4 linked regions of the Stegostoma tigrinum genome follow. The protein of the gene in region 4 purifies or fractionates together with the protein of the main gene of each other region. This does not show direct contact. Links are inferred from orthologs where the notes say so. Each region holds a gene or a part of one and is shown on either strand. Other genes may lie near its edges. The genes, in order: polr3f, polr3c, polr3k and polr3h.

What was found.
Region 1: the proteins of polr3h (region 4) and polr3f purify together in Homo sapiens (affinity purification with mass spectrometry; 4 studies listed by BioGRID and IntAct, with this or other methods). This does not show direct contact. The link is inferred for Stegostoma tigrinum from reciprocal best matches to the Homo sapiens genes POLR3H and POLR3F.
Region 2: the proteins of polr3h (region 4) and polr3c purify together in Homo sapiens (affinity purification with mass spectrometry; 5 studies listed by BioGRID and IntAct, with this or other methods). This does not show direct contact. The link is inferred for Stegostoma tigrinum from reciprocal best matches to the Homo sapiens genes POLR3H and POLR3C.
Region 3: the proteins of polr3h (region 4) and polr3k purify together in Homo sapiens (affinity purification with mass spectrometry; 3 studies listed by BioGRID and IntAct, with this or other methods). This does not show direct contact. The link is inferred for Stegostoma tigrinum from reciprocal best matches to the Homo sapiens genes POLR3H and POLR3K.

Annotation. Positions count from the first base shown.
Region 1 is NC_081362.1:22,718,581-22,725,901, reverse strand, and holds the start of polr3f (DNA-directed RNA polymerase III subunit RPC6), read right to left. Parts: upstream 3,003-7,321; 5' UTR 2,588-3,002; coding exon 2,532-2,587; intron 1-2,531. UniProt on the Homo sapiens protein: DNA-dependent RNA polymerase catalyzes the transcription of DNA into RNA using the four ribonucleoside triphosphates as substrates.
Region 2 is NC_081400.1:582,317-590,201, reverse strand, and holds the start of polr3c (DNA-directed RNA polymerase III subunit RPC3), read left to right. Parts: upstream 1-4,873; 5' UTR 4,874-4,975; intron 4,976-5,537; 5' UTR 5,538-5,570; coding exon 5,571-5,717; intron 5,718-6,054; coding exon 6,055-6,310; intron 6,311-6,901; coding exon 6,902-7,087; intron 7,088-7,885. Other genes in the region: rnf115a (E3 ubiquitin-protein ligase RNF115), read right to left, coding at 4,646-4,723. UniProt on the Homo sapiens protein: DNA-dependent RNA polymerase catalyzes the transcription of DNA into RNA using the four ribonucleoside triphosphates as substrates.
Region 3 is NC_081376.1:5,098,697-5,106,551, reverse strand, and holds the start of polr3k (DNA-directed RNA polymerase III subunit RPC10), read right to left. Parts: upstream 3,013-7,855; 5' UTR 2,989-3,012; coding exon 2,878-2,988; intron 2,392-2,877; coding exon 2,304-2,391; intron 1-2,303. Other genes in the region: snrnp25 (U11/U12 small nuclear ribonucleoprotein 25 kDa protein), read left to right, coding at 6,252-6,440. UniProt on the Homo sapiens protein: Core component of RNA polymerase III (Pol III) which synthesizes small non-coding RNAs using the four ribonucleoside triphosphates as substrates. Can mediate Pol I proofreading of the nascent RNA transcript.
Region 4 is NC_081391.1:6,524,967-6,532,649, forward strand, and holds the start of polr3h (DNA-directed RNA polymerase III subunit RPC8), read right to left. Parts: upstream 3,012-7,683; 5' UTR 2,945-3,011; exon of another isoform or gene 2,909-2,944; intron 2,885-2,908; exon of another isoform or gene 2,665-2,884; intron 1,061-2,664; 5' UTR 1,036-1,060; coding exon 925-1,035; intron 1-924.

The sequences.
Region 1 (7,321 bases), on a different chromosome or scaffold from region 4:
GTGGTGGGAAGAGGGGACGGGTATTGGTGTTTATGTCCAGACGGGTAATTTGGGTGGAACTGAGAAGAAAGAAAAGAAATGACAAACCTTATTGGGATCGTAATATAGATGTCCCCGGTAAATCAGCAGGAAATTGAAAAAAGAACAACTTTGTACGGAGGTGTCAGTTATCTGCAAGAATAATAGGGTGGTTATGGTAGGGGATTTTAATTTTCCAAAAGTGGACTGGCACTGCCAGAGTGTTAAAGGCTTGGATAAAGAGGAATTTGTTAAGTATGCACAAGAAAATTTTCTTATTCAGTATGAGGATGTACCTACTAGAGAAGGTGCAAAACTTGACCATCTCTTGGGAAATGAGGCAGCGCAGGTGACTGAGGTGTCAGTGGGGGAACACTTTGGGGCAAGTGATGATAATTAAAATAGTGATGCAAAAGGATAGACTGGATCTAAAAGTTAAAAGTTTAAATGGAGCTAGGGCAATTTTGATGGTATTAGGCAAGAACTTTCAAAAGTTGATGGGGTCAGATGTTCGCAGGAAAAGGGATGGCTGGAAAATGGATAACATTCAAAATTGAGATAATGAGAGTCCAGAGACAGTATGTTACTGTTAGGGTGAAGGACAAGGCTGATAGGTATAGGGAATGCTGGATGACTAGAGGTTTCCATCAAGAAAAAGGAGGAAGCATACATCAGGGATACATAGTAGAGATCGAGTGAATCCCTAGAAGAGAGTATAACAACAGTAGGAATATACTGAAGAGGGAAGTCATGACGGCAAAAAGAGAGAGACAGGAACGTGAAATAGCTTTTGCAAATGTAGTTAATGAGAATCCAAAAGAAATCTAAAGTTACATTAAAGACAGAAGGGTAACTAGGGAGAGAATACAGCCACTTAAAAATCAGCAGGGCTACCTACACGTGAGACCACAGGAGATGGAGCAGAAACTAAATGAGTATTTTGCATTAGTGCTCATTGTGGAGAAGAATATGGAAGTTAGAGAACTTGGGGGATAAATAGCACCATCTTGAAAAATGTCCATATTTCAGAGGAAGAAGTGTTGAATGTCTCAAACACAAAATGTAGATAAATCCCCAGGACCTGATCAGGTGTAATCTAGAACTCTGGGGGATGCAAGGCAACAGATTGCTGGGACCGTTGCTGAGATACTGTATCAATAGCCACAGGTGAGGTGTCGTAAGACTGGTAGTTGGCTAATGTTGTGCCACTATTTAAGAAAGGAGGCAAAGAAAAGCCCGGGATTGTAGACCAGTGAGACTGGCATCAGTGGTGGGCTGAGACAAGGTCTTATTCCTGGGTGGATGTGTCTAAAGTTAGACAGCATAGGTTTAAGTTGAGAGCAGAGAGATTTTTAAAAAGAGACCTAAGGGGCAAAATTTTCATGTAGTGTGGTTTGTGTATGGAATGAGCTGCCAGAGGAAGTGATGGAGGCTGGTACAATTACAACATTTAAATAGCATCTGGATGGGTACACGAGTAGGAAGGATTTAGGGCCAAACGCTGGTAAATATGACTAGATTTATTCAGGATATCTGGTCAGCATGGATGAATTGGACTAGAGGGTCAGTTTTCACGCTGTATATCTCTATGCCTCTGCCTCTCAATCATTTCCCACTCCCACACCCCTCACTGAGCTTTTGATCATGAGGCTCCCCATCATATTTTGCTCTATAATGTCTGTGAAGTGCTTAAGGTTATTCCATTACATTCAAAAAGGTGCAACATGGAGAAGTTTAGCATCTGTGGAGAGAGCGAGACAACATTTTGAGTCAGGTATGCCTTCATCAGAACTGAAAACTGGAAATGTTTTTTTTAAAAAAATACTTTTTGACAAAAGACAGTCGATGAGCAAGAGCGAAGATTGTATGGAGGCCCAAAGCAAAATACAAGAGGGTTGTTAATAGTGGAAAAGATGCAAGGGTTGTATGGTGGCTTAGTGGTTAGCACTGCAGCCTCACAGCACCAGGAACCCGGGTTCGATTCCAGCCTCGGACAACTGTGTGGAGTTTGCACATTCTCCCCGTGTCTGCGTGGACTTCCTCCTACTGTCCAAAGATGTGCAGGTTAGGTGGATTGGCCTTGCTAAATTGCCCGTAGTGTTCAGGGGTGTGTGGGATGCTTCAAGGGGCGGTGTGGACTTGTTGGGCCGAAGGCCCTGTTTCCATACTGTAGGTAATCTAATCTAATCAAATCAAAATGTCAGCTTTTGTGCTCCTGAAATGCTGCTTGGCCTGCTGTGTTCATCCAGCTTCACACTTAGTTATCTTAAATCAAAATGTGAATTGAGATGTGAAAAGCAGCGAACTGACCCTTTCTACTAAGTGCAACGTAAGCAAGACAAACAACACGGCTAGGAGATGCGGCGAAGACAGAGGTTAAATACTCTCATTGCTCGAAGTCTTAAAAGCATGGAAATTTTCATAGCATCAGTGACGACCTTTCTTCACTCAGAATTTTTACAACGCGAAAACGGCCCCGACCTTGTCATCGTAGCCAACCACACAAAAACTACCTGCTTTCCAGTCCCACAGAATCTACTGCTTCTTGCTTCACTGTCACGTCAGCCATGATTTCAGTTGTACAGCATGACAATATATTGGTGGCTGAAGGGTTTGTTTGCGGATCTGGTCTGTAGCGGTGCTGACTGGCCCCCTCGGTCCGATATTGCAATTCTTGCGTTTCAACGTTGTATCAAACCTCAGCGTGAATGTTCCAAATTGCACGCTCACCCTCCAGCTCCGGGGTAAACGATCTACAGCAGCAAATTACTTCAGCCTCTTGAACTAGGGGACCTTTCATTCTGCAGTCTCAATCTCTTATTGGGCAAGAGATTCATTTGCCAGTCTACACTCCTCGCTTCCCGTCGTTAATTACAAGCAGTTTTTTTTTTCTGCTGCCGTATCTTACAAGACAGTTCTGAAAATAGTGAAAGACCAAAGAGGCACACGTTTAGTTCAATAGATAGCCTTCCCCAGCTCGACTTTTCTTCCTCTCCGGCAATCTGAGAAGCAGCTGTTTAATTTGAGCTGGGGCCTAACCAGGGTTTGGCGCTTTTGCGGACTCTGTTCGCCCTTTGAAACACAATCACGTGACAACACGTTTACCATCCCTCCGGGAGTAACCTGGGAGCGGAAAAAGGATGCATTAAAAATACATTAATTTAGTTTACGATTTAGCTTTGTTTTGCATGGCAAGTCGCTTTATGTAGGATATATTAATGGTGCAGCAAGGTTAAACAAAAGAAACTGGTCAGTAGACCCGAAACGTTAACTCTAAATTTTTCTTCAGAGGCTGCCAGATATGCTGAGCTTTTCCAGCAACCTGTTTTTGTAAACAAAACTGGATCTCATTCACTAGTTAGATTTAAGGCAATTTAATAACGGGAGCAAGAGTGAGGAAGAATAAGTGTAATGTGACTGAAGTTTAATTTCACATTAGGCGCACAAGAAAAAGGCGGGGGTGAGGAAGAGAAGGAGAAATTTCGGGTTAAGAGCAAGAGCAAACAAAGTAAAAATAAAATGCTTGTAAATAATTCGCTGAGCCACACAGTTACTCCCATCAATTTAACACTTACCGGATTAAAGTGTTGAGAGACTGATCACTAAACTTATCTTTATGTGGTGACTTCAGTTTTTATTACGGAATTGCAGCAACTTCACGCCACCAATAACTGTGAAGACAGCCGTTTACTTGAAACCAACTGGAGTACCATAACCCAGCAACCTTTTGGCTCTTTTAGTTTTTAATCATGCATCTTCTCCTCACCTGAAGCTATTTATGCAGAGCACCTACATTTTGTATTATTATTTATACAAGTTCCATTTGGAAGTTAGTCCAAAATCCAATTCCACCACCCCTTCAAGTTAATGCATTTCAGATTCAAATTCTCACATTAAAAAGATGGGACAAGGAACAAAGTTTTTTTGGGGAATACAAATAAATCAATCACTGGTAATCTAAATATTTGTCAAAAAAATTAAGCATTAAGATACACTGGATACTGCAAAGGCTAGAGGCCCTGACAACGTTCTGGCAATAGTACTGAAGACTCATGGTCCAGAACTTGTTACTCCCCTAAGCCAAGCTGTTCCAGTATTGTTACAACATTGGCCTCTAACCAAAAGTGTGGAAAATTGTCCACAAATGTCCTGTACACAAAAACAGGACAAACCCAACCCAGCCAACTACTACTCCATCAGTCTATTCTCAGTCATCAGTAAAGTGATGAAAGGTGTCATCAACAGTACTATCAAGCAGCACCTGCTCAGTGACAACAAGGTGTAGAACTGGATGAACACAGCAGACTGAGCAGGAAGGCTCATGTTTCAAGCCTAGACCCTTCTTCAGAAGTCAGGGAGGGGAAGGGGGCTCTGAAATAAATAGGGAGAGAGGGGAGGGGGGGGGGGTAGAGGATGGAGAGATGAGAAGATAGGTGGAGAGGAGACAGGCAGGTCAAAGAGGCAGAGATGGAGCCAGTAGAAATGAGTGTAGGTGGGGAGGAGATAGGTCAGTCCAGGGAAGACGGACAGGTCAAGGGCGTGGGATGAAGTTAGTAGGTAGGAGTTGGGGGAGGGGCTTGAGGTGGAAGGAGGGGATAGGTGGGAGGAAGGACAGGTTAGGGAGTTGGAGACGAGCGGGGCTGACTGTGGAATGTAAGGAGAGGGGAAATTTTGAAGCTTGTGAAGTCCACATTGATACCATTGAGCTGCGGGGTTCCCAAGCGGAATATGTGTTGCTATTCCTGCAACCTTCAGGTGGCATCATTGTGGCACTGCAGGAGGCCCGAGGTGGACATGTTGTCTGAGGAATGGGAGGGGGAGTTGAAATGGTTCGCGACTGGGAGGTGCAATTGTTTAGTGCAAACCGAGCATAGGTGTTCTGCAAAGCAGCCCCCCCCCCAAGCCTCCGCTTGGTTTCCCCAATGCAGAAGAGGCCATAACGGGAACAGCGGATGCAGTATACCACATTAGCAGATGTGCAGGTAAACATCTGTTGATGTGGAAAGTCTTCTTGGGGCCTGGGATGGGGGTGAGTGAGGAGATGTAAGGTCACGTGTAGCGCTTCCTGCAGTTGTAGGGAAAAGTGCTGGGTGTGGTGGTGCCGGAGGGCAGTGTGGAGTGGACAAGGGAGACACAGAGAGAGTGGTCCCTCCAGAAAGCAGATAAGGGTGGGAAGGGAAAAATGTGGAGTGGTGGGGTCGGATTGCAGATGGCGGAAGTGTTGGACGCTGATGGGTTGGATCTGGAGGTTGGTGGGGTGGTATGTGAGGACGAGGGGGATTCTGGTTTGGTTGTTATTGTTGAGAGGGGGTGTGAGGGATGAGTTGCGGCTGACACGATCGAGGGTGTTCTCGACCACTGATTGGGGGAAGTTGCGGTGCTTGAAAAATGAGGACATCTGAGATGTACGGGAGTGGAATGCCTCATCCTGGGAGCAGATGCGGTGGAGATGAAGGAATTGGGAATAGGGAATGGCATTTTTGCAGGAAGATGGGTGGGGGGAGGTGTATTCTAGGTAGCTGTGAGAGTCGGTAGGTTTGAAATGGATCTTGGTTTCTAGGTGGTTGCCAGAGATGGAAACAGAGAGGTCCAGGAAGGAGAGAGGGGTATTGGAGATGGTCCAGGTGAACTTAAGTTTGGGGTGGAAGGTGTTGGTGAAGTGTATGAACTATTCAAGCTCCTTGTGGGAGCATGAAGCAGCGCCGATACAATGATCAATGTAACGGAGGAAGAGGTGGGGTTTAGGGTCAGTATAGGTAGGTAAGAGGGATTGTTCCACATAACCTACGAAGAATTCTCGGTTCGCACTAAACAACTGCACCTCCCAGTTGCAAACCATTTCAACTCCCAGTTCCATTTCTCGGACGACATGTCCATCCTGGACCTCCTGCAGTACCACAACAATGCTACCCAAAGGTTACAGGAACAGCGACTCATATTCTGCTTGGGAACCCTTGTTTGTTCAAATATGAGCAAAACAGCTGAATTCCAGAGGTAAGGTGAGAGTGTCAGCCCTTGATATCAAGACTGCATTCAACTGAGTGTGGCATCAAGGAGCCATAGCAAACTTGGAATCAATGGGTGTCAAGGGGCAAACTCTCTAGTGGTTGGATTCATACCTGACACATAGAAAGATGGTCATGGTTGCTGGAGGTCAATCAAGGTGAGTAACTCATCTGACTCCTCAAAGCCTGTCCACCATCTACAAGGCACAAGTCAGGAGTGTGATGGAATACTCCCCACTTGCCTGGATGAGTGCAGCCCTAACAACTCTCAAGAAGCTTGACACCATCCAGGACAAAGCAGCCCACTTGATTAGCACTACATCCACAAGTATCCACTCCCCCACCACTGATGCTCAGTAGCAGCAGTGTGTACTACCGACAACTTGCACTGCAGAAATTCACCAAAGATCCTCAGACTGCACCTTCCAAACTGACAACTACTTCCAACTAGAAGGACAAGGGGATCAGCCATATGGGAAGACTACAACCTCCAAGCCACTCACCATCCTGACTTGGAAATATATTGCCGCTCCGTGACTGTTGCTGGGTCAAAAATCCTGGAATTCCCTCCCTAATAGCATTGTGGGTCAACCCACAGCAGGTGGACCGCAGTCATTCAAGAAGGCAGCTCATCACCACCTTCTCCAGGGCAAGTAGGAATGGGCAAGAAATGCTGGCGAGCCAGAGATGCCCAAATCCCACAAATGAATAAGGGAAAAAAATGGTTTGATACAGCTTTAGTGAGGGAATTCCAGATCTTCAGATGTAGACAGCCTGAAGAAGGTTATTACCAACAAAACTTCTCAAGACTATAAAGTGTGCAAAGAAAACACATGGGTCCATTATGGAAAGAATAAAACAACAATCAACAGGTATTATTACATTTTTATTGAACTTTGCTTGCATAGTTGGAGTACTCCATCCAAATTTTGGTCTTCACATTGCAGGAGGGATAGTGAAGTACTGAATAAATGCAGAAAAAAAAACACTGGGGTGATCGGATTTACAGAATTAACCAGATGTTGATATTAGAAAAAATGATCTAGTGATTGGTATAGACAGGTACAATGATTTTAGAAATAAAGGGCTGAGTAGACCGAGGAGAGGTCTTAAAATTGTAAAACGGCTCAATAGGGCAGATGGGGGAAACTGTTTCCACTTGTGTGTGAGTACACAGCGAGGGGGCAAAAATATACGATAGCCAATAACAGGTAAAATAAAGTATTCAGAAGATTTCCTTTACACAGAAAATGCTGAGAATGTAAATTCTAAATGCGATGATTGAAGCAGATATCAAT
Region 2 (7,885 bases), on a different chromosome or scaffold from region 4:
TCCAGCAATGGTGCTGAAGACTTGTGCCCCAGGATTTGTCAGACTCTAAGCTAAGCTCTTCCAGTACAGCTACAACACTGATCCACCCAACAGTGTGGAAAATTACCCTAGTATGTTATGTACACAAAAAGCAGGACAAATTCAACCTGGCCAAGTACCTCCTGATCAATCTACTCTTAGGTCATCAGAGAAGTGATGGAAGGTGTTATCAACAGTGCTATCTAGTAATATTTGCTCAGAAATAACCTACTCACTGACATTCAATTTGGGTTCCATGAAGGCCATTAAGCTCCCAGCCTCATTACAGTTCTGGTTCAAACATGGATAAAGAGCAAAATTCCAGAGGTAAAGCAAGAGTGATTGCCCTTGACACAAGGTCACATTTGATTGACTGAGGCATCACAGAATCCAAACTAACTCGAAGCAATGGGTATCAGGGGAAAACTCTCTGCTGGTTGGAGTCAAACCTGGCACACAAGAAGATGGTTGTGGTTGTTGGAGGTCAGTCAACTCAGCTCCAAGACACCTCTGCAGGAGTTCTCCAGGGTAGTGTCCTAAGCCCAAATATCTTCAGCTATTTCAACAATGACCTCCCCTCCATCATGAGGTTAGAAGTGGGGATGTTCAGCACCATTCATGACTACTCAGATACTTAAGCAGTCCATGTTGAAATGCATCAAGTTCTGGATAATATCCAAGCTTGTGCTGACAAGTAGCAAATAACATTTACATCACACAAATGCCAGATAATGACCGTCTCAAATAGGAGACAATCTGCTCACAACCTTGCCATTCGATGACATTAACATCACTGAATGCCATGCAGTCAACATCCTGGGGTTATCATTGAACAGAAATTGAACTGGACCAGCATTATAAATTCTGCAACTATAAGAGCAGGTCAGAGACTAGAAATCTTCCAGTGAATAACTCACCTCCCAATTCCCCAAAACCTGTCCACTATCTACAAGGCATAAGTCAAGAGTGTGATGGAATATCCCCACTTTCCAGAATTCGTGCAACTCCAACAGCACTTAAGAAGTTTGACACCATCCAGGACAAAGCAGCACCTCTGAGTGGCACTACATCCACAAGCATCCACTGAGAATAGCAGCAGCAGTGTGTACTACCTACAAGATGCACTGCAGATATTCAACAAAGATCTTTAGACAGTACCTTCCAAACCCATGACCACTTCCATTGAGGAGGGCAAGGGTAGCAGATACATGGGGTCACCACCATCTGCAAATTTTCCTCCAAACTACACACCATCCTGACTTGGAAATATATCATTGTTCCTTCACTGTCACTGGGTCAAAATCCTGGAATTCCTACTCTGAGGACACTATGGATCAACCTACAGCACACGCACTGCAACAGTTCAAGATGGCAGTTCACCATCACCTTCTAGAAACAATAAAATGCATCCACAGTAACGTTACAAATGCAAATTTATACTTAGGGACTGAAGGAAAACCAGAAATTATATAGATTCTGATTTGAAGAGGTGTTTTACCCCAAGATTTCTTGGAAATGATGTTAGTGATTTTATGGCCTGCTGTTTTCAGACGACAAGTGACTTTGCAGAAAAGACCAGCAATGTTTTGAGCGACATGAGAAATGGTTTATGACCTTTGTTTGCTGGAATAACCAGGCTTGACAAAATTTTGGGAGCTCTCTGCCATTGGCGGCTTATCAATCCTTTCTGGACTTAGTTTTCGGTTTTTCAGACTGAAGTGGTCAATAGAAAGTAACCCAAGATTCTATAAGTCTCTCCCTATTTCTTTCAGCAGAGTTGGCCTGAGAGCCTAATCAAGTTTCAACATACAGATATTTCTATCTTACAAACCCCGGAAGGCTGAACTGTGACCAGTTTCCAAAGACTTGGTTCCACCTTGGTTTCAAACTGAACTGAAAATCTTCTATCAGATAACAACTGAGTCCAATTTGAATTCAGAGACAGGAAATTCAGTGGAAATTATTAAATCTTGTAGGCTGCTCATCAATAAAATGGAAGGAATCAAACTAAGATGAACCTCAGCAAAAGCAAAATAAAAACAGTAACACTAACACATTGAATACATCTGAGGTGACTTGGACAGAGAGACCAATTAATAATTTTAAAGATACTAAGAGTGCTGGATTAACATCAGCAGAGATACAGTCACTGACACAGGGCGCTGGGGAAAACAGTTTAATTTTATTCACCTATTGGATGTGGGTGTTGCTGACTCGCCCATCATTTGTTGCCCATCCCTAGTTGCCCTTGAGAAGTGTTGGATGAGCTGTCTTCTTAAGCTGCTACAGATAGACCCACAATGCTGTTAGGGAGGGAGTTCCAGGACTTTGACCCAGTGACAGTGAAAATCAGTGATATATTTACAAGCGAGGATGGTAAGTGGCTTGGAGCAGAGCTTGCAGACGGTGTTGGTGTTTCCACGTTGTCTGCTGCCCTTGTCCCTGGGGAGTTACTTGCAGCAGTATTCCTAGTCTCTGACCTGCTCTTCTAGCCACAGTGTTTATATGGCAAATCCAGCTGAGTTTCTGGCCAATGATAACTCTCAGTATGTTGACAGCAGGGGATTCAGTGATGGAAATGCCAAGGGGCAGTGGGCAGATTGTCTCTCATTGCTTGGCATTTATGTGGCGTGATCATTATCTGCCACTTTTCTGCTCAAGCCTGGATATTGTCCAGGTCTTGCTGCATTTGGACACAGACTGTTTCGGGGTGAGGGGTTACTGAGTGACAAATGGTGCTCAACATTGCACAAGCATTGGTTAATGTCCCCACTCTGACCTTATGATGAAGGGAAGGCCATTGATGAAGTCACTGAAGCTTGTTGGACCTAGGACACTACCCGGCGGAATTGTTACTGAGTGACTGTAACTGGATTATTATCAGTACAGATAGAATCAGGAACACCAAGCGCTGGGGAAGTGGGAGGTGGACCACTTTTGATGGAGATACAGTCAGTTACATTTTTAATGCTGGGAAGAAGAAGGGTTACGGAATGACAATGCAAGGGAGTTTGATGATATCAGAAGAGATGCAGTCAGTAACATGGGTTCGGGGGGAGATGGGTTACTGGTTGACAGTGTGAAGGACCTTCTGACATCAAAACAGATAGTTAGAAACTAGAATTTTAAGAGCATATCGATTTAACATCATTATTATTTAAACTCATTCATATTTTTAACATCCAGAATTACAGCCTGTTCCACATTCCATAAGCATCACTGTTTAAGGCAGTCCAAGCATTTAGTCAGTCTCCACAATACAGTCACCATCAAATTTTGCACAATTATTCAGACCACTACTGAGTTGCTCACTGAGTAATTTGATGTACCCATCCTATTACAAGGGCCATAATCAACACAACCATCACACTCAACCCTTGCAAAAGCAAACATAACTCTGGGCCAATGTTTGAACGCAAGAACATAATTCATTGGAGGAAAGCCTTGGCTAGGACTCGCTTTGCACCAGGAGGAATAAAATGTATTTGAAGACTGTCAGCTCTGGACTGGGAGGAGATGGGAGATGGAGGTCTCCATGGAGATGGTCACCATGGGATGGGGGAGATTAATCTCCAATGATGACCATGGTATGGAGAGCTCAGTCTCCATGGCGACTGTGGGAGGGGTAAGGGGAACAGACAGTCACCACAATGAGCACTGAGGGATGGTTCAGTCTCCATGGTGACCCTGGGAATGTCGGGGGCGCGTGTTCAGTCCCCATGGGATGTAGCGGGGTGTTAAGTCTCCTTCAGTCTTCAGTGGTGGGGGGAATCAGTCTCCATGGTGACCATGGGAATGATGGGATCAGTCTCCAGGGTGACCATGGCGGGGTTGGGGGGGGGATCAGTCTCCATGGTGACCATGGGGATGGGAGAAATCAGTCTCCATGGTGACTATGGAGGGTTGGGGGATCAGTCTCCATGGTGACCATGGAGAGCTGGGGGGTCAGCCTCCATGGTGGGCTGGGGGATCAGTCTCCATGGTGACCATGGAGGGCTGGGGGGAATCAGTCTCCATGGTGACCATGGTGGGGTTGGGGGTATCAGTTTCCATAGTGACCACGGAGATGGGGGGAATCAGTCTCCATGGTGACCATGGGGGATTGGGGGGATCAGTCTCCATGGTGACCATGGGGATGGGGGATCAGTCTCCATGGTGACCATGGGGGGGTGGGGGGGATCAGTGTCCATGGTGACCATGGGGATGGGGGATCAGTCTCCATGGTGACCATGGGGGGGTGGGGGGGGATCAGTGTCCATGGTGACCATGGGGATGGGGGATCAGTCTCCATGGTGACCATGGGGGGGTGGGGGGGATCAGTGTCCATGGTGACCATGGGGATGGGGGATCAGTCTCCATGGTGACCATGGGGGGGTGGGGGGGGATCAGTGTCCATGGTGACCATGGGGATGGGGGATCAGTCTCCATGGTGACCATGGGGGGGGGTGGGGGGATCAGTCTCCATGGTGACCATGAGGAGCGGCGGATTGGGTTAAGATTGCGGAGTATCCCCCTCCCCCTCCTGAGGCTCGGGTTGACTGATAGTGATTCCTCCCCGGTGAAGACCAGCAGTTTCCCGGAGCAAGGGGGACGAGGCAGTATACGCTGGGCTCGGGGCCTGTCTTACCGGTAGCTTGGGGCACACCTCTCCCTTGCAGCAGTGACAGAAGAAGCGAAGCGGAGACACAGCCGCCGCCTCCGCCATCTTATCCGCTGACGTCAGCGCCCTCCCGGAAAGCCCCGAGCTACCCGGAAGTGGACTCTGGAATTTATGAGGTTGGGGGCACGCCGCCATCTTGGTGCGGGGCACAAACCGGATGTTCCTGCGGTATCGGGTCAGTAGGAACCAAAGTATCCGGAACATAAAGACCATCACTACCGGAAAGGGACCGTGAGGAAGTGGGGGCTTTGGTCCCAGGAGGGAAATAGAAGGAGGGAGAGCACTTCGTAGATTGCAGTGAGTTTTAGCTTTAGTAAAGCTTCGGCTACACGATGTCCCCTCACCCCCCGTCCCCCCATCAAACACTCCCAGGGACAGGGACAGCACGGGGTTAGATGCAGAGTAAAGCTCCCTCTACACTGTCCCCCATCAAACACCCCTAGGGACAGGGACAGCACGGGGTTAGATGCAGAGTGAAGCTCCCTCCATCCTGTTCCTGTCGGCTGTCTGAATGTCACTAGCCCACTTCGTATGAAAATACTGTGATGCTGGGAGTCTGCAATGAAAACAGTGAAGTGTTGGAGAAACTCAGCAGCTCCACCGGTAACTGTGGAGACAGAGAAGCAGAGTCACTGTTTCCAGTCCCCTTCAGAACCTGTCAGATTCAGACTGACAGCTTTAACTCTGCTTCTCTCTGCCAGGCACTGCCGGAATTTCTGAGTTTCTGCTGCACTGTCTGTTCCTGTTCCCTTCACATTTTTTCCTGCTGTTTTCTTTTCCTCAGACTGAAGGTATTGTTTTAGCAGTCTCTGACTTCGAAGTTGTTACTGAATTAGTAGTGATTCATGTGGTTTTGCAGGACGGACTCTGATGAGATTGAACCTAATCAGGAATGACACACGTTGAGTCACAGATCTGCTCCTGCTTGCTCCAGGCACACTACGGTGAAATTGTAGCCAAAGTTGGCACCCACCTAATTCGCACAGGATGCCAGCCTCTCCGGCTAATTGCCAAAGATACTGAAACGCCGATTGATCAGGTGTGTGTTTGTGTGGGGTCGGGGGTGGCGGGTGGGTGCTGGTAGAGAGGGGGTGTGGTGGTGCAGTTTGCTGCTAAGGGCTGATGGGAGTTGAAGGAATGGCACCAATCTGAGATAGCTGATCAGACTCTTCCATAGCTAAGAGAAAAGCTTACTATAGCTGGCCACATAAATTTCCAGACTCTGTGTGTGCCATTGACAGGATGAGGAGTGGGACATGGTGAGATCACAGCATGGCTGGAAACTGGGCCTTGGCTAGCAGACGGGTGTCAGTGGTACATGTAGAGGGGAAAGTTTGGTGTACAGGGACCTTGACTGTCGTACTGCAATGTTCCAGGTTAAGAAAGCTCTCTGCGTCTTGATCCACCACAACTTTGCTTCCTATCATGTGCACAAGAGGGGCTTTGTAGAGTATGAAGTGCACTGTGCACACATCATTCGCATCCTGCGATACCCACGCTATATCTACTCAGCTAAGACACTGTACGGAGACACAGGGGAGCTGATTGTGGAGGAACTGCTGCAGAATGGCAAGATGACAATGAGTGCAGTTGTGAAGAAAGTGGCCGACAGGCTGAGAGAAACAATGGAAGGTGAGAGTGCATGAAGGAAGAGATGGAGGCTGCAACTAGCATTCGAATGTAGAGGAGGGGAGGGGAGGGGAAAGAGGATCCTGGCAGGGAGTATATGTGAGTTTGTGACGAAGGAAAGATCAGTAGCAAAGACTATACTGGGATCAGGGTGGGGGTTGCATGTGTACAGACTGAGGGGATGTGTAAGAGGGGGTCTTGTACAGGGGAGGAGTTGTGTATGGTGGGGGGAGGGGGAGCCACATACGGGATGGTGGGAGGAGGTGGTGTGTGTGGTGGGGGCCTGCATACTGTGGGGATGAGGGAGCCCACGTGTGGAGGGGAGGGGGAGTCGTGTACGCTGGGCCTGGGGGGGGAGGGGGAGTTGTGTACGGTGGACAGGGGGTGAGGGGAGGGGAAGTTGCGGACGGTGGGGTTGTGTGGGGGAGGCCGAGTCATGTATGCTGGGGCTGGGAGGGGGGAGGGGGAGTTGTGTACGGTAGGCAGGGGGTGAGGGGGTGGGGTTGTTATTGTTCTGAATGGTGAGCACAGTCTTACTGGCTAATGCTTCATCTGGGTAGTGTTTCTCACGTCCTTGGCTCTTCCTCTGCACAGACAGTAAAACCGGGGAACACAGTGAGACCTCGAATACCTTCATCCGATTGGTGCAGACCCACTTCCTGCAGAAATGTGCCCTGGTCTCTGAGTGTGTGGTTGCTGAAGGCTTGCAGCCCCCTCATGCTCCAACACTGGTCACTGATGAGAAAGAGATGTACACTGTGCCCCATCTCAGTGTTGTTGGTAAGGTGTCACAAACCTGCTCTCTGCTTTCATTCAAGGCTTGTCCAAAGCTGGGAAGCTTTTCCTTCATCAAAAACAGAAATTGCTTGAGAAACCCAATAGGCCTGGCGCCATCTGTGAGGAGAAAGCAGAGTCAGCGCTTGGGGTCCAGTGAACCTTCCTCCGAACCGATAGTAACTGGGAGCAGGTGGTCTGTATGCTGAAGATGGGGGAATGGGGTGGTAGAGTAAGAGAAGGAGTGAGAGGATTGGTGGAGATGGAGCTCTGAGGGACAACGAGATGGCTGATAGTAAACTAGAGAGAAAGAAAAGCTGATAACTGGGTGAGTGATAAGTGAATGAAAATGTTGGCTCTGCTAAAAGCAGCCTTTGCCATGATAGGTCCTGGGGTGTGGGATTTGCTAAAGGACATAGAAACTTATTGAACTCAGTATTGAGTCCTACAGGGTCCCTAAGCAGAAAATGAGGTGTTCTACTTCCAGCTTGTGCTGAGCTTTGCTGGAGCACTGCAGCAAGCCTGACACAGAGATTTCGGCCAGGGAACATGGCAGGGTGGGGAAGCTCAGGGTCACTTTTACAAACAGAATGGAAGACCTCATTGTGAGCAGTGAATACAGTTGACTAGATTGAATGAAGTGCAGTAAATCGCTGCAAGATGTGCCGAGGACTTTGGATAGTGAGAAGCGAGGAAGGAAGCAGATGAGTGTTGCACCTTCTGTGATTGGAGGGGAAGGTGCTGTGGCAGTGTGGTGTGGTGTTGTAGGTGGACCAGGGAGTTGTAGAGAGAAAGGTTCCAGCA
Region 3 (7,855 bases), on a different chromosome or scaffold from region 4:
CCCTAAGAATCTTACATGTTTCAATAAGGTCACCACTCATTCCTCCAAATTCAAATAAGCACAGGCCTAACCTATTCAACCTGTCCCAGGCAACGTGGTCTCAGAAGGAGAGATTGAATTATCTAAATGTGATGAATTTTGAAACACAGTCTGTCAAGAGTAGCTTTGAGAGCGATTCAGAGTTATTTCTCTCTGCAGAGAGCAAAATTTTAAATGAGATTTTGTGCCCACAGTGTCACGAACATCTGGCTGGGCTGCTGGGAAATCCTTGGGATCTCTCGACCTGCTTGATCTGATATTGGATATGCTCTATGTGATGTTCAACCAATATTTGGCTGTAAACCTAAATATACTTCACATTAATTATGGCTGTCAAAGCTGCATGCACGTTATAGACTGTATTACTTTCCTAACCTTGTAAAGTCAAGTTTATTTTATTTGTTTAAAAACAGAATCCTACAGCATTAATCTTAGTGAGTTCTTGCAACTTTAAACTTCATGTACTTAGTGTTTAAAGTTACTGGTCCCTAACCTGGTAACATAAATTTGACAGTCTTGCCAAGGATCTATGACAGCTCTTAAGATAACTTAGAGAAGGAAGCTGCTATAGCGAGATCCGCACTTGTGTCTTTAGGTTAAAGTTGCCCCCTGCTACAAATATGAGTTTGGCGATAGCAAGAACTGCAGATGCCGGAGTCAGAGTCATCTGGAGGAACACAGCGGTTTGATCAAGGGTGTGAACCCGAAATGTCGACTTTCCTGCTCCACAGATGATATCTGACCTGGTGTGTTCCTCCAGCTCCACACTGTATTGACTACAAATATGAGTTTGTTTTGTTTAGGACTGTGTCTTTAATGCAAGGTAGAACAAAGCTGTTCTGACATCTCGATCCAAGATTGAGGGAGCAGCTAGTAAGCAAAAAGTCTGAAAGTGCTGGAACCATACTGGAATCATGCTTGGATGGAAAAGATCAAACTCACAGGGAGACAACATGAGGCTGGGGAACCACTTAGGGCTACAGAAAGCGTGTCTCCAGAAAAATTTAAAAAAAATTATTTCTCAGGGCTAAGAATAGAAACAAAATGTTGAAGAAATTCAAGTCTGACAGCCTCTGTGGGGAGCAAAATGGGAATATTTCAACTCTGTGAGACTTCTCTTCAGAAGTAGGCTGGAAAAAATGATTCAGAGATAGTAGATGCTGTAGAATCTGAGATAACAAGGTGTAGAGCTGGATGAACACAGCAGGCCAAGCAGCAGAGGAAAGGGAAGGCTGACGTTTCAGACCTAGACCCTTCAGAAAAAAAATGAAGACGGGTCTCGGCCCAAAACGTCAGCCTTCCTGCTCCTCTGCTGCTGCTTGGTCTGCTGTGTTCATCCAGCTCTACACCTTGTTATGTCTGGAAAAAATGATAGTTGTTATGTTGTTGGAAATGGAACAGGAAGAGCAAGCTGGGAATGCACACCAGAATAAAAGATGAAGAGAATGTGCATGGAGGGAGAGAAATGATACAGATGAAGTGTAGGTGTTATTGGTAATGGTAAGATGATCCAGGTATTTCCAACAATGTTTTTAGTTCAGCTCTCCAGCATCTGCAGTACTTTGCATTAACCCTGGTATCCCAGTATCACTTTGGATTGATCCTGGGAATATTTAATGCCTACATGAAGGAAAGTGTAAAGAATATGTTTGAACTGTGTTCTCTTCTTCAGTTTTGCTCAGAATAAGGGCTTTATGGGTTATGGTACATGTTGTCTTTCAAGAAAATGTATTAGTTAAGTGTCTTCACTCATTTGTTACAATATGTCTTAAAATGTGAAATCTCAGTGCATCATTCTCTGAGCAATGAACCGGAATTTTGAATTATCTTTTAAAATGGTGGCTCAGCGGTTAGCACTGCAGCCTCACAGCACCAGGGATCCAGGTTCGATTCCAGCCTCGGGCGACTGCCTGTGCGGAGTTTGCACATTCTCCCCGTGTCCGCGTGGGTTTCCTCCGGGTGTTCCGGTTTCCTCCCACAGTCCAAAGATGTGCAGGCTAGGTGGATTGGCTATGCTAAATTGCCTGTAGTGTTCAGATGTGCGTGGGTTACAGGGGGATGGATCTGGGTGGGATGCTGCAAGGGGCGGTGTGGACTTGTTGGGCCGAAGCGCGTGTTTCCACATCATAGAGAATCTAAGTAAAAGCTAAGGATCTCTGTAGGGAATGTTACACAAAACAACTGTGTAGAATAATGCAAGCTATCACGTGACCCATATTACCCAACCTCATCTTTCACGTGACAAGTTGTTTTAATTACCATACCTGCTGTAGAGTCAACATTTTTCCAAGCAGCAGCTCCACCTAACACATCATCGACTTCCTTAAGCTTGGGATATTTTCTGCTTGTTACCTTCAATACAAAGGAAAAATATCACTTGTTATTTTGCACACAAGCAAGTCAATAAAGTGAGTTCAAAGGAAAGTGCCCTGAACACAGTCATTATTGATTTCCAATTTACATTAGTCTCTAAAGTATCACATATTTCAGCCATTTCCCATTCATCCAGGTATAAACATTTTCAACAAGGTACAATCAGCTTAATAAATACGTTTGTGTATGAATAAAATATCCTCCACCACTCAATCTCCTTCCTCATCGATACCCCACCCCATTCCCTACATCCCACTCTCCCCTCCCCCTCTGCTCTCCATCCCCCCCCTTCTTTCTCTGATGAAGGGTCTAGGCCCGAAACGTCAGCTTTTGTGCTCCTGAGATGCTGTTTGGCCTGCTGTGTTCATCCAGCCTCACACCTTGTTATCCTAACCTTCTCCCATCCTGCTTTCCTTCATTTCCGACCCCCTTCTCCGGCCCCGGCCCCTAAGTCTCGTCCCCCACCTTCCGGGTGACGTTGTGAACGTACGGACAGGTGTTACACGCGAAACGATAACATTTCTGTCCCTCCTCCACAATCAGGACGTTCCCGCAGGTCGGGCAAAAGAGCAGCATCGCCGGAACCGGAAACAGAAACACTGCCCAGAGCCTTCTCACCGTGCGCCCGGATTTTGGTTCCGGGGGTGGGGGAAGGGCTGGTGCGGACCACGAGGCCTCGGAGAGAGGGAGGAACAGAGACAGTGCGTGCTCGTGTCAGGATCAGGGTCTGGAGTCCGTTTGAACAAACTCTGTCCGGCTGGGGTCGAGGGGAGGGTGTGCAGGCACAAGGAGGGACAGAGATAGAGACAGAAACAGCACAGACAAAAACACAGAGAGACAGAAACAGAGAGGGGGAGAGAGAGAGAGAGACAGAAACAGACAGCAACACAGAGAGAGAGACAGAAACAGAGAGGGGGAGAGAGAGACAGAAACAGAGAGGGGGAGAGAGAGAGAGACAGAAACAGAGAGGGGGGGGAGAGAGAGAGAGAGACAGAAACAGAGAGGGGGGGGGGAGAGAGAGAGACAGAAACAGAGAGGGGGAGAGAGAGAGAGAGAGAGACAGAAACAGAGAGGGGGAGAGAGAGAGAGACAGAAACAGAGAGGGGGAGAGAGAGAGAGAGACAGAAACAGAGAGGGGGAGAGAGAGAGAGAGAGACAGAAACAGAGAGGGGGAGAGAGAGAGAGAGAGACAGAAACAGAGAGGGGGAGAGAGAGAGAGAGAGACAGAAACAGAGAGGGGGAGAGAGAGAGAGAGAGACAGAAACAGAGAGGGGGAGAGAGAGAGAGAGAGACAGAAACAGAGAGGGGGAGAGAGAGAGAGAGACAGAAACAGAGAGGGGGAGAGAGAGAGAGAGACAGAAACAGAGAGGGGGAGAGAGAGACAGAAACAGACACAGACAGCAACACAGAGAGAGAGACAGAAACAGAGAGGGGGAGAGAGAGAGAGAGACAGAAACAGAGAGGGGGAGAGAGAGAGACAGAAACAGAGAGGGGGAGAGAGAGACAGAAACAGAGAGGGGGAGAGAGAGACAGAAACAGAGAGGGGGAGAGAGAGACAGAAACAGAGACAGACAGCAACACAGAGAGAGACAGAAACACAGAGAGGGAGAGAGAGACAGAAACATACAGACAGAAACAGAGAGGGGGAGAGAGAGAGAGAGAGACAGAAACAGAAACACAGAGAGGGAGAGAGACAGAAACAGAGAGGGGGAGAGAGAGACAGAAACAGAGAGGGGGAGAGAGAGAGAGAGAGAGACAGAAACAGAGAGGGGGGGGGAGAGAGAGAGAGACAGAAACAGAGAGGGGGGGGGAGAGAGAGAGAGACAGAAACAGAGAGGGGGGGGAGAGAGAGAGAGACAGAAACAGAGAGGGGGAGAGAGAGAGAGAGACAGAAACAGAGAGGGGGAGAGAGAGAGAGACAGAAACAGAGAGGGGGAGAGAGAGAGAGACAGAAACAGAGAGGGGGAGAGAGAGAGAGAGACAGAAACAGAGGGGGAGAGAGAGAGAGAGACAGAAACAGAGAGGGGGAGAGAGAGAGAGAGACAGAAACAGAGAGGGGGAGAGAGAGAGAGAGACAGAAACAGAGAGGGGGAGAGAGAGACAGAAACAGACACAGACAGCAACACAGAGAGAGAGACAGAAACAGAGAGGGGGAGAGAGAGAGAGAGACAGAAACAGAGAGGGGGAGAGAGAGACAGAAACAGACACAGACAGCAACACAGAGAGAGACAGAAACACAGAGAGGGAGAGAGACAGAAACATACAGACAGAAACAGAGAGGGGGAGAGAGAGACAGAAACAGAAACACAGAGAGGGAGAGAGACAGAAACAGAGAGGGGGAGAGAGAGAGAGAGACAGAAACAGAGAGGGGGAGAGAGAGAGAGAAACAGACACAGACAGAAACACAGAGAGGGAGAGAGAGACAGAAACACAGAGAGAGAGAGACAGAAACAGACAGACAAACAGAGAGGGGGGAGAGAGAGACAGACACAGACCGTAACACAGAGAGAGAGAGAGAGACAGAAACAGACAGACACAGACAGCAACACAGAGAGAGAGAGACAGAAACAGACACAGACAGCAACACACAGAGAGAGAAACAGACACAGACAGAAACAGAGAGGGGGAGAGAGAGAGAGAAACAGAAACAGACAGCAACACAGAGAGGGAGAGAGAGACAGAAACAGCTCAGACAAAAACACAGAGGGAGAGAGAGACAGAAACAGACAGACAAACACAGAGAGGGGGGAGAGAGAGACAGAAACAGCTCAGACAAAAACACAGAGACAGAGACAGACAGCAACAGAGAGAGAGAGAATCAGAGAGAGAGAGAGTCAGAGATTAGGACAGAGAGCCAGACAGTGGGATGGATGGGGACAGACAGAAAGAGAAAAACAAGGATTGAAAGGGAGAGAAACAACAGCCACAGCAATTAACGTGGGAGAGACTATAGGAATGTGGTGTCATGGATTTCAGAGATTAAAAGAACAGACAGTAAATAAATCAACTCATCACAGCAGGAAGTGAGAAACAGGGAGAATTCAGGTCCTACTGTACACCGTGGATCAGTTTACAGTCAGAATGAAGGAGACTGCAGAATGACTAAGTTCAAAACCACAAATTAGAGCAAGTATTTTGGAAGAAACTACCTGTTTTCCAAGTGAGGCAGTTCCCGATCATTAAGTACTAAGGAATCATCTTATCCAAAACTCTTGACTGGATAGATCATCAGTTTCGCAGAATAGTTTATTTCCCAAGTTTTCCTCCATAGCCCTAAATACATTCTGCCATGGTGGTGGTGGATGCAAATACAATAGGGGCATTTAAGGGGATTTTAGATAAGCACGTATGTAAGAAAGGAATGGATGGATGTGGACCATGGGCAGATGGAAGGGATTAGCTTAACTTGGTGTCATGGCCGGCACAACATTGTGAGCTAAAGGGGCCGTTCCTATGCTGTACTGTTTTATGTTCTATATCTCCCGTTCCTCCCCCATCCCACACACACTACCTCTTTTCCCCCTCCATGCCCTATCATATCTCCTGTGTCCACTCCACTGTGATTCAGTACTGAGCTAGTTAGCAATTGGCAAGATTGACAAGTGTTTTAAATGCTAATGAGGCTAATATAATAAGCATGGAGGCTTTGAATATCTATTGTGAAAAAGAACTGAACTCACAGAATGGTTACAGCACAGAGGGTGGCCATGTTTGTATTGGCTCTCCAAAGTTGCAGTTTTCCCAGTGCTATTCCCTTACCTTCTCTCCATAACTCTGCACGTTCTTTTCCAGATAATAATCCAATTCTCATTTAAATTCCACTGAAAGATTCACTGAGGATGACTGAAGACATTAAGAAGGAACCACTTTCCACCAACATTAAGCAGGAAGAAAATTTTGCCGTAGTCAATCAAGAAAAAGCTGTAGAAGAGGAGGAAGAGTTATCGCATGCAGAAATCCTGGACCTATTTCAGGAAGGTCTGGCCATGATTGTCCAGGATCCATTGCTGTGTGATCTTCCAGTTCAGGTTTGTGGTTTATTTTAATCATAAGCTTTACACATTCACAATAATTACATTTTTATCAGTGATGATGTTTGATATCAAGAATGCGAATACTGTTTGATCAATGGAAATCTTTTTCTGGTCTTTTAATTGTACACAGAATGTGGCATTGCTGACTAGACCCAACATTTATTTCCCATCCCTAATTGCCGAGTGGGCAGTTGACAGTCAGCCACATCACTGTGAATCTCATGTAGGCCGGACCACATAGCATAGAGTCGTAGAGATGTGCAGCATGGAAACAGACCCTTCGGCCTGACTTCTGTATGCCAACCATATATCCTAAATTAATCTAGTCCCATTTGCCAGCATTTGGCCCATATCCCTCTAAACCCTTCTTATTCATGTACCCATCGAGATCCCACTTCAATATTGTAATTGAACCAGCCTCCACCACTTCCTCTGGCAGCTCGTTCCATACATTCTGTATGACAAAGTTTCCCTTCAAGTCTTTTTTAAATCTTTCACCTCTCACCTTAAACCTCTAGTTTTGGATTCCTGTACCCTGGGAAAAAGACCTTGGCTAATCACTCTATCTATGCCCCTCATGAATTTATAAACCCCTACAAGGTCACCTCTTAGCCTCCGATGCTCTAGGGAAAATAGCCCAGCCTATTCAGTCTGTCCGTGTGGCACAAAACGTCCAAGCCTGGCCACATCCTTGTAAATCTTTTCTGCACCCTCTCAAGTTTAACAACACCCTTTCCATAGCAGGGAGATCACAATTGAATGCCCAGATTTGCTTACCCAGAGGATTTTAGTTAATCAGATTGGATTTTACAATTGACAGTGTTACAACATTTTCAGTAGGCCAGCTTTTTATTCCAGATTTTCTGTTTAATTGAGATTTCATAATTTGACATGGTGGGATTTGTATCCATGTCTAGCAGTTCTGGATTACTAGCCTAATGATATTACCTGTGCACCACCACCTCCCCAAACATTAAGAATTGCAATACAGTGTCTTTGTGCCTGTAGGCTTTGTTAAGAATATAAACTCCTGGGTACGATCTGGCCAGAATAGTTTTCGCTAGGTCTAATTTCATTGTCCTTCAATAGGACAAGTAATTGTGTTAGATTTTAAAAAAAGTATGCGGGCAGAGACCCTAATATAATTTGTATACGATTCGTAAAAGACAAATTTGACATGAATTAAGATGTTTTTCTTTATAAATACAACCAAGTAAAATAGTACTCCAAATCCCTGCAGTGTGGAAGTAGGACATTCGGCCCATCGAGTCTATGCTGATCCTTCAAAGAGCATACCACCCAAATCCACCCCTCTCCCCTTCCTTTGTAACCCTGCATTTCCCATGGCCAATCCACCTAACCTGCACATCTTTGGACTGTGGGAGGAAAGTGGAGCATCCAGAGAAAAC
Region 4 (7,683 bases):
ATTTCTGTTTTATTATAAATTTCTTGCTTTACTAATTTTTGCTGTTATTGTATTGCTTCTTTCCATATTAATCCTCCCAAAGGGCATCATGTCACACTTACTTGCACTGGACGTCATGCTCCAAAACCTGATCATTATCATCTGAAGCTCAGACCTATCTTACATTCAGATCATCTGTAAACTTCATAATGCCACTTTCTGCACAAGAGCATAGGTCATCAATAACAACTTCAGGGTACAGGACCCAAAGGTCACCATGAGAGACACTGTTACAAGCTACCTCCCAATCTAAGAAGCATCCATCTCTTTGTAATGAGTAACTGCTTCCCATCACTGTGATAATTTTCTATCTACTTTGATGAGCCTAACATTTACTTCTGTGCTGCCATAAATTGAACGCTCCACTGCTACTTCTCCCGAATTCAAGGGGCTTTCATATTTTTGATAAATCTCCTACATGGCACTCAGGCAAATGCCTCCCAACAGTCTGTATGTACAATCATCACACTAAATGAATCAACCTTCTCTGCTACCTCATCAAAATCATTTTTCTAAGTCCCACATGAAACCAGGGGCTCACCCAGGTTCCTTTGACAGCACCTTCCGAACCCACGACCACTTCCATCTAGAAGGACAAGGGCAGCAGATACACGGGAACACCACGCCCTGCAAGTTCCCCTCCAAGCCACTCGCCATCCTGACCTGGAAATCTGTCACTGTTCCTTCAGTGGGTCAAAACCCTGGAATTCACTCCCTAACAGCAAACACCCCGCACCAAAAGGACAGCAGCAGTTCAAGAAAGCCGCTCTTTTCCAGGGCAGCTAGGGATGGTAATGCCCAGCAACATCCACATCCCATGAAAAATGAAAAGAACTGACAGGAAACAAATCAGCCTGGTCGCAGCTTTAACAAGAGGTTCTCCACCTTATTTGCTAGTTTTTTGTTCAGCTCTTCAGCAATGGCATCATTCAGCCTCCTTTCGAAAAGCCAGGGTGGGATCCGCACAGTATCCACCATCTCCACAAGGACGAACATGCTGCGAGTAGATAGGATCAACACACTGAGAAGGAAGGAGAAGAAATGACTTAAACACTGTTCACCATAATTGGGAAAAGTGAGGACACTCATGAAGTTAGTTCCTATAATAAAAAGGACTGCTTTTTATTTGAATTGACAAAAAGTCTTATTGATAATACAGCATTAAGTCACAGTGCGATTAACCAACAGTCTATTTAAGTCATGTCATGCTGTACATCTATCTGCACCACTGGCAAATGCAAAGGAGGGTGCTGAACTATGCAAAGGACCTGCATTTTTGTAGCACTTTTATTATGGCAAAAATCCCAAGGCACTTCTCAGGAGCAGTTGCCAAACAAAATTTGATAGTAAGCCACATGGGGAGATAGTAGAGCAAATGACCAAGATCTTTCAGGAGTGTCTTAAAGGAATAGAGAGAGGCAGAAGAGTTTTGGGCAGGAATTATAGAGTTTGAGGCCCAGTCTCCTGAAGACTCAGCCATCAACAGTGAAGTGATTAAAATCAGGAATGCTCAAGGGATCAGAATTGGAGAAGCACAAGTATCTCATGTGTTTGTAGGGCTAGAGTAGAGAGGATTACCTAGATATAGAGAGCACGGCAAAGCCACAAAGGGATTTAATATCTTAAAAATCTCACCCTAATTTATGTCATTCCTTTGCCTAGGAGTCATCTGAATGTCAGCAAGCACCAGAGTGACAGGGGCACAGGACTAGGTGCAAAAAAAGAAACTGCTGTAAAAGCTCAGCAGGTCCAGCAGCTTCTGTGAAGAGAAATCAGAGTTAATGTTTCTGGTCATGTGACCCTTCCTCACAACACTTGACCTGAAACGTTAACTCTGATTTCCCTCTTCAGATATTGCCAGACGTGCTGAGCTTTTACAGCAATTTCTGTTTTCGTATGTAGTCCTGCACCCCTATCACTCTAGTGCTTGCTGACATTCAGGTGACTCCCAGGCTCACCACTATTCCAGAGCACTCCCAGTCGGTCACCCACATTCTACCCTCAGTTTGTCAGAGTTCATCCAGAACGGCTGTTCACGTCAATGTGCACTGAGTCCCAAAAGAACTGTAGATGCTGTAAATCAGAAACAAAAACAGAAATTGTTGGAAAAAGCTCAGCAGGTCTGGCAGCTTCTGTGGAGAGAAATCAGAGTTAACTTTTCAGGTTGAGTGACCCTTCCTCACAGTTCTCGACCCGAAACGTTAACTCTGACTTCTCTCCACAGAAGGTGCCAGACCTGCTGAGCTTTTTTCCAACAATTTCTGATTTACAGCATCTACAGTTCCTTTGGGACTCAGTGCAAGTTGAGATAAACAGCGATTCTGGACGAACTCAAGCAAGCCGAGGGTACAGGGCGGGTGACAGTCAGGGACTCTCTGGAATAGTGGAGTACAGGTAGGAATGAGGGTTTCTGCCGCAAATGAACTGAAGCTGAGACGTAATGGGGGAGGAAGAGGAGAAGGAAAGCATCTTATTGTATGTGAAGCATTTTGGTACGTCCTGAGGTCTTGAAGGGCGCTACAGAAATGCAGCTTTTACGGAGTGTGAGATCTATTGATTAAAATGCGGGGGGTCTGGGGAGGTGGGCGGTTTGGGCAATGCGCTGGCAGTCAGCTCCAAACTTACTGACTACTTTGAGAAACCTCCCCCAAAGAACTGACTGAGGTTCCCGAAAGTTACGGTCAGCCAAAGCCGCGGGGGGCGGGGGTAAGGCTCAGGGCCTCAATATTGGCAGCTTTGAGCCGGAGGGAGCGACTGCAGTCACGGGCCCCAGGCCTCGGAGCCAGGCGCCAGGCCCTAGGCCCCAGACTCCGGTCGCGTTCGCAGCAGCAACAGCCTCAACCATCCAGGTTCGGGGCCGAGCCTCTACCCATTTTCTATCCATGTCCCGCCGCCGCCATCGGACCTTCGCACGTTCCCATTCCGCGGCTTCCACTCGTTCAAATTCACTTTACGGCAGACGGTCGGGGGGGGGGAGGCGCGCGCGTTCTTTTTTACGGCAGGAGGTCACGCCATTAGCTTTTGCCGTTGAATTTTACGGCAGTTTGCGACGGCCCTGCCCCGGACACCCTTCAAGATGTTTGGACACCTGAGAAGGAGGGAGCTCAGCATTTGTCGAGTGAACAGGAGCGCACAGGTTTTACAACAAAGAACTTGAAGCGAATGCAACTGTATCGGAAACCAGTCATTTTTTTTCTCAAAGTGATGTTTTACTTTGGGTTGAACATCCAAAATCCAAAGTGATTGAGCTGCGTGATCCCACAGCCAACAGATCAGATCTGAGATACCAAGGTGTAGAGCTGGATGAACACAGCAGGCCAAGCAGCATCAGAGGAGCAGGAAAGCTGATGTTTTGAGCCTAGACGCTCCTCCTGTTCATCCAGATCTACACCTTGTTATCGCAGATTCCCCAGCATCTGCAGTTCCTACTAGATCAGATCTAACTCTGCAGTCCTGCTACATCCAGTGTGAATGGTGGTGGACAATTAAACAACTCACTGGAGGAGGAGGTTCCACAAATATCCCCATCCTCAATGATGGAAGGACCCAGTACATCAGTGCAAAAATAAGGCTGAAGCATTCGCAGCAATCTTCAGCCAGAAGTCCCAAGTGGATGATCCATCTCGGCCTCCTCCAGTGGTTGCCAGCATCACAGATAGCAGTCTTCAGCCAATTTGATTCACCCCCACGTGATATGAAGGAATGCTTGGAGGCACAGGATACATCATTCCACCTATAGTACTGAAGACTTGTGCTCCAGAACTTGCCACTCCCCTAGCCAAGCTGTTCCAGTACAGTTACAATACTGGTATCTACCCAGCAATGTGGAAAATTGCCCCCAAGTATGTCCCGTACACAAAAAAGCAGGAAAAAATCCAACCCGGCCAATTACAGCCCCATCAGTCTCCTCTCGATCATCAGTAAAGTGATGGAAGGTGTTATCAACAGTACTATCAAGCAGCACCTGCTCAGCAATTACCTGCTCAGTGACGCCCAGTTTGGGTTCTGCTGGGGCCACTCAGCTCCTGACCTCATCACAGCCTTGGTTCAAACATGGGCAAAAGAGCTGAAATGCGGAGGTGAGGTGAGAGTGACAGCCCTTGACAACAAGACCACATTCGACCAAGTGTGACACTAAGGGGCCCTTGCAGAACTGGAATCAGTGGATAGCGGCATGCAATCCCTCTGCTGGTTGGAGTCACACCTGACACATAGAAATATGGTTGTGGTTGTTGGAGGTCACTCATCTCAGCTCCAGGACATTTCTACAGGAGTTCTTCAGGGTAGTGTGCTAGGCCCAACCATCTTCGGCTGCTTCATCAATGACCTTCCCTCCATCATTAGGTCAGAAGTGGGGATGTTCGCCGATGATTGCACAATATTCAACACCATTCATGACTCCTCAGATACTGAAGCAGCCCATGTTTACATGCAATGAGATCTGGACAATATGCAGGGTTGAACTCACAAATGACAACAATATTTGTGCCACACATATGCCAGGCAATGACCATCTCTAATAAGATGCAATCTAACCACCACCCCTTGACATTCATTGGTGTTACCAGTGACTAAAAAAACTGAACTGTATTTACCCTGTAAATACAGTAGCTACTAGAGCAAGTCAGAAGCTAGGAACCCTGCAGCAAGTAACTCATCTCCTGACTCCCCAAAGCCTGTCCACCACCTACAAGGCACAAGTCAAGAGTGTGATGGAATACTCCCCACTTGCCTGGATGAGTGCAGCCCCAACAACACTCAAGAAGCTTGATACCATCCAGGACAAAGCCAGCTGCTTGGATCCACAAGAATCCATTCACTCCTCCACCAACGCTTAGTAGCAGCAGTGAGTACTATCTACAAATACATGTCAGAAATTCACCAAAGATCCTCAGACAGCACCTTCCAAACCCACAACCACTTCCATCTAGAAGGACAAGTGCAGCAGATACATGGGAACACCACCTTCAAGCTCCCTTCCCACCAGCATCCGGTCTCCCAGTGTCGATGTCCACTATCTTCGTTTAGTCAAAGGGAAGTTATATTTGACCAATCTATTAGAGTTCTTTGAGGAGGTGATACATGCAGTGGATAAAAGGTGGATATACTGCACTTAGATTTCCAGAAAACATTCAATAAGGTGTCACGTGAAAAATCATTGCGCATAAAAAAGCTCATGATGTAGTTGGTTACATGGATGAAAGACTGAGTTTCGAGAAAGGGTCACCGGACCTGAAACGTTAACTCTGATTTCTGTCCACAGATGCTGCCAGACCTGCTGAGCTTTTCCAGCAACTTCTGTTTTTGAAATCATAGATTCCTTATGGTGTGGAAGCAGACCATTCAGCTCAACGAATCGAAACTGACCCTCCAAAAAGCATCCCGCTCTATCTCTATAATCCTTCATTTCCCATGGCTAACCCACCTAACCTGTTCTCATATATTTCTCATGTACACCATCTCCAGTTCTTTCAGTTTTTATTTGGATAGAAGGCTGGCTGGCTGGTAGAAAACAGAGAGTGGGTACAAATGGGACTTTTATCAGTTGGACAAGATGTAACAAGCATTGTGTCGAAGAGATTGGTGCTGATACCTCAACCGTTTACAAATTTGGGTGAAGGGACAGATGGTGTGTTTGCCAATTTGCTGATGATATAAAGATAGGTGGGAAAGTATGTTGTGAAGAGAACATGAGTAACATGGGTGGCACGGGGCTCAGTGGTTAGCACTGCAGCCTCACAGCACCAGGGACCTGGGTTTGATTCCAGCCTCGGGCGACTGTCTGTGTGGAGTTTGCACTTTCTTCCCGTGCCTGCGTGGGTTTCCTTCGGGTGCTCCAGTTTCCTCCCACAGTCCAAAGATGTGCAGGTTAGCGTGGATTGACCGAACTAAATGCAGGGATAGGATGGGTGGGGGAATGGGATGCTTTTTAGAGGGTCAGTGATGACTCAATGGCTGAATGGCGTCTTTGTGCACTGTAGGGATTCCATGAGGATGCTGTGGATAGTTATAGATAGGTTCAGCAAGTGGGCAAAGATCGGGTAAATGTAATAAAATGTGAAATTGTCCATTTTGGCAAGAGGTCTTAAACAGAAGCATTATTATCTAAATGCTGAGAGATTGTAGAGCTTGGAGGTACAGAACAGATCTGGGTACCCCCATACCTGAATCGCAGAAGGTTAGTATGCAGGTGCAGCATGTAATTAGGAAAGCCAATAGAATGGGGGGAACTGAATACAAATGTAGGATGATTGTGGCTGAGTTATATAGGGCACAGTTGAGACCATATCCCGAGTACGGGGTACAGTACTATTCTCTGTATTTACGGAATAATGTAAAAGCATTGCAAGCAGTTCATAAAAGGCTTTACTGGGCTAATAATTGGGAAGGGAAAGGTTGTTTCTTGAGGGAAGGTTGGATGAGCTTTCTGCTGCAGAAGGATAAGAAGTGACTTCATTGACAGATATAAAAATCCTGAGGTGGGGGTGTGCTTGACCAGGCAGAGGTGGTGAGGATGTTTCCCTTTAGGAGAGAAACTGGAAAGACAGTGATTGTTTAAAAAAAAATTTAAAACAGAGATATGGACATTTCCTGTCTGTTTTCGAGAGCAATGAGGTTTTGGAAAGCTCTTCCTGAAAAGTTGCTGGAAGCAGAGTCTGTGAATCTTTTTAAAGCAGAAGTGGATAGCGGTGAAAGGTTATCAGAAGCGGATGTGGATTTGGAGTTAGATACGGATCAGCCACAATCTTATTGAATGGCAGAGCAGGCTCAAGGGGCTGAATGGCCTATTCTGCACTCAGTTTTACGTTGATTTGTTTTTGCTTCCACAGAAGCTCAGGATGCTGCGACGCCTCAGCCAGACCGAATACTTTTGGGTATAGAGCTGTCATCCATTTGATGAGAGTAGCCGACTCAACACAGATATCATTCACTTAGAGTCGAGTGTGTTGCTGACAGAACGAGCGTACACCAGGACTGTACTGTTTGGCTAAGTTAGTCTGATCACAGATCCTTGTGCAGTGCTTGATTGCTTCATCCTGTGAGTGATTCAAGTGATGGACACCGGACTTTCAGAGAAAATTCTAGACAGAGAGAGAGAGACAAGATCACAGAATTGTTACAATGCGGGAGAGCGTTCAGTCCATTGTTGCTTTTCAAATGTGCATTATAGTCTAGTGCTAATCTTCTACCTTGTCCCATCTCCCTGCACACCATCTCGATCCAAATAATCATCCACTGCTCCTCTTGAATACCTCAATTGAACCTGCCTCCACCACGTTTAGTGTACATAATTAATCAGTTAAAACCTTCTAACTGATTAAAGATTTAATCTGAGGTCTGTTTCATACAGAAAAACCAAAAGAACTGCAGATGCTGTAAGTCAGGAACAAAAACAGAAGGAAGGGTCTGTGGAAGGGTCACCAGACACAAAACATTAACTCTGACTTTTTCTTCACAGATGCTGCCAGACCAGCTGAGCTTTTCCAGCAACTGCTGAGACAAAAAGGTGCGGAACTGGACGAACACAGCAGGCCAAGCAACATCAGAGGACCAGGAAAGCTGACATTTTTCTGAAGAAGGGTCTAGACCCAAAACGTCAGCCTTCCTGCTCCTCTGAATCTGCTTGGCCTGCTGTGTTCATCC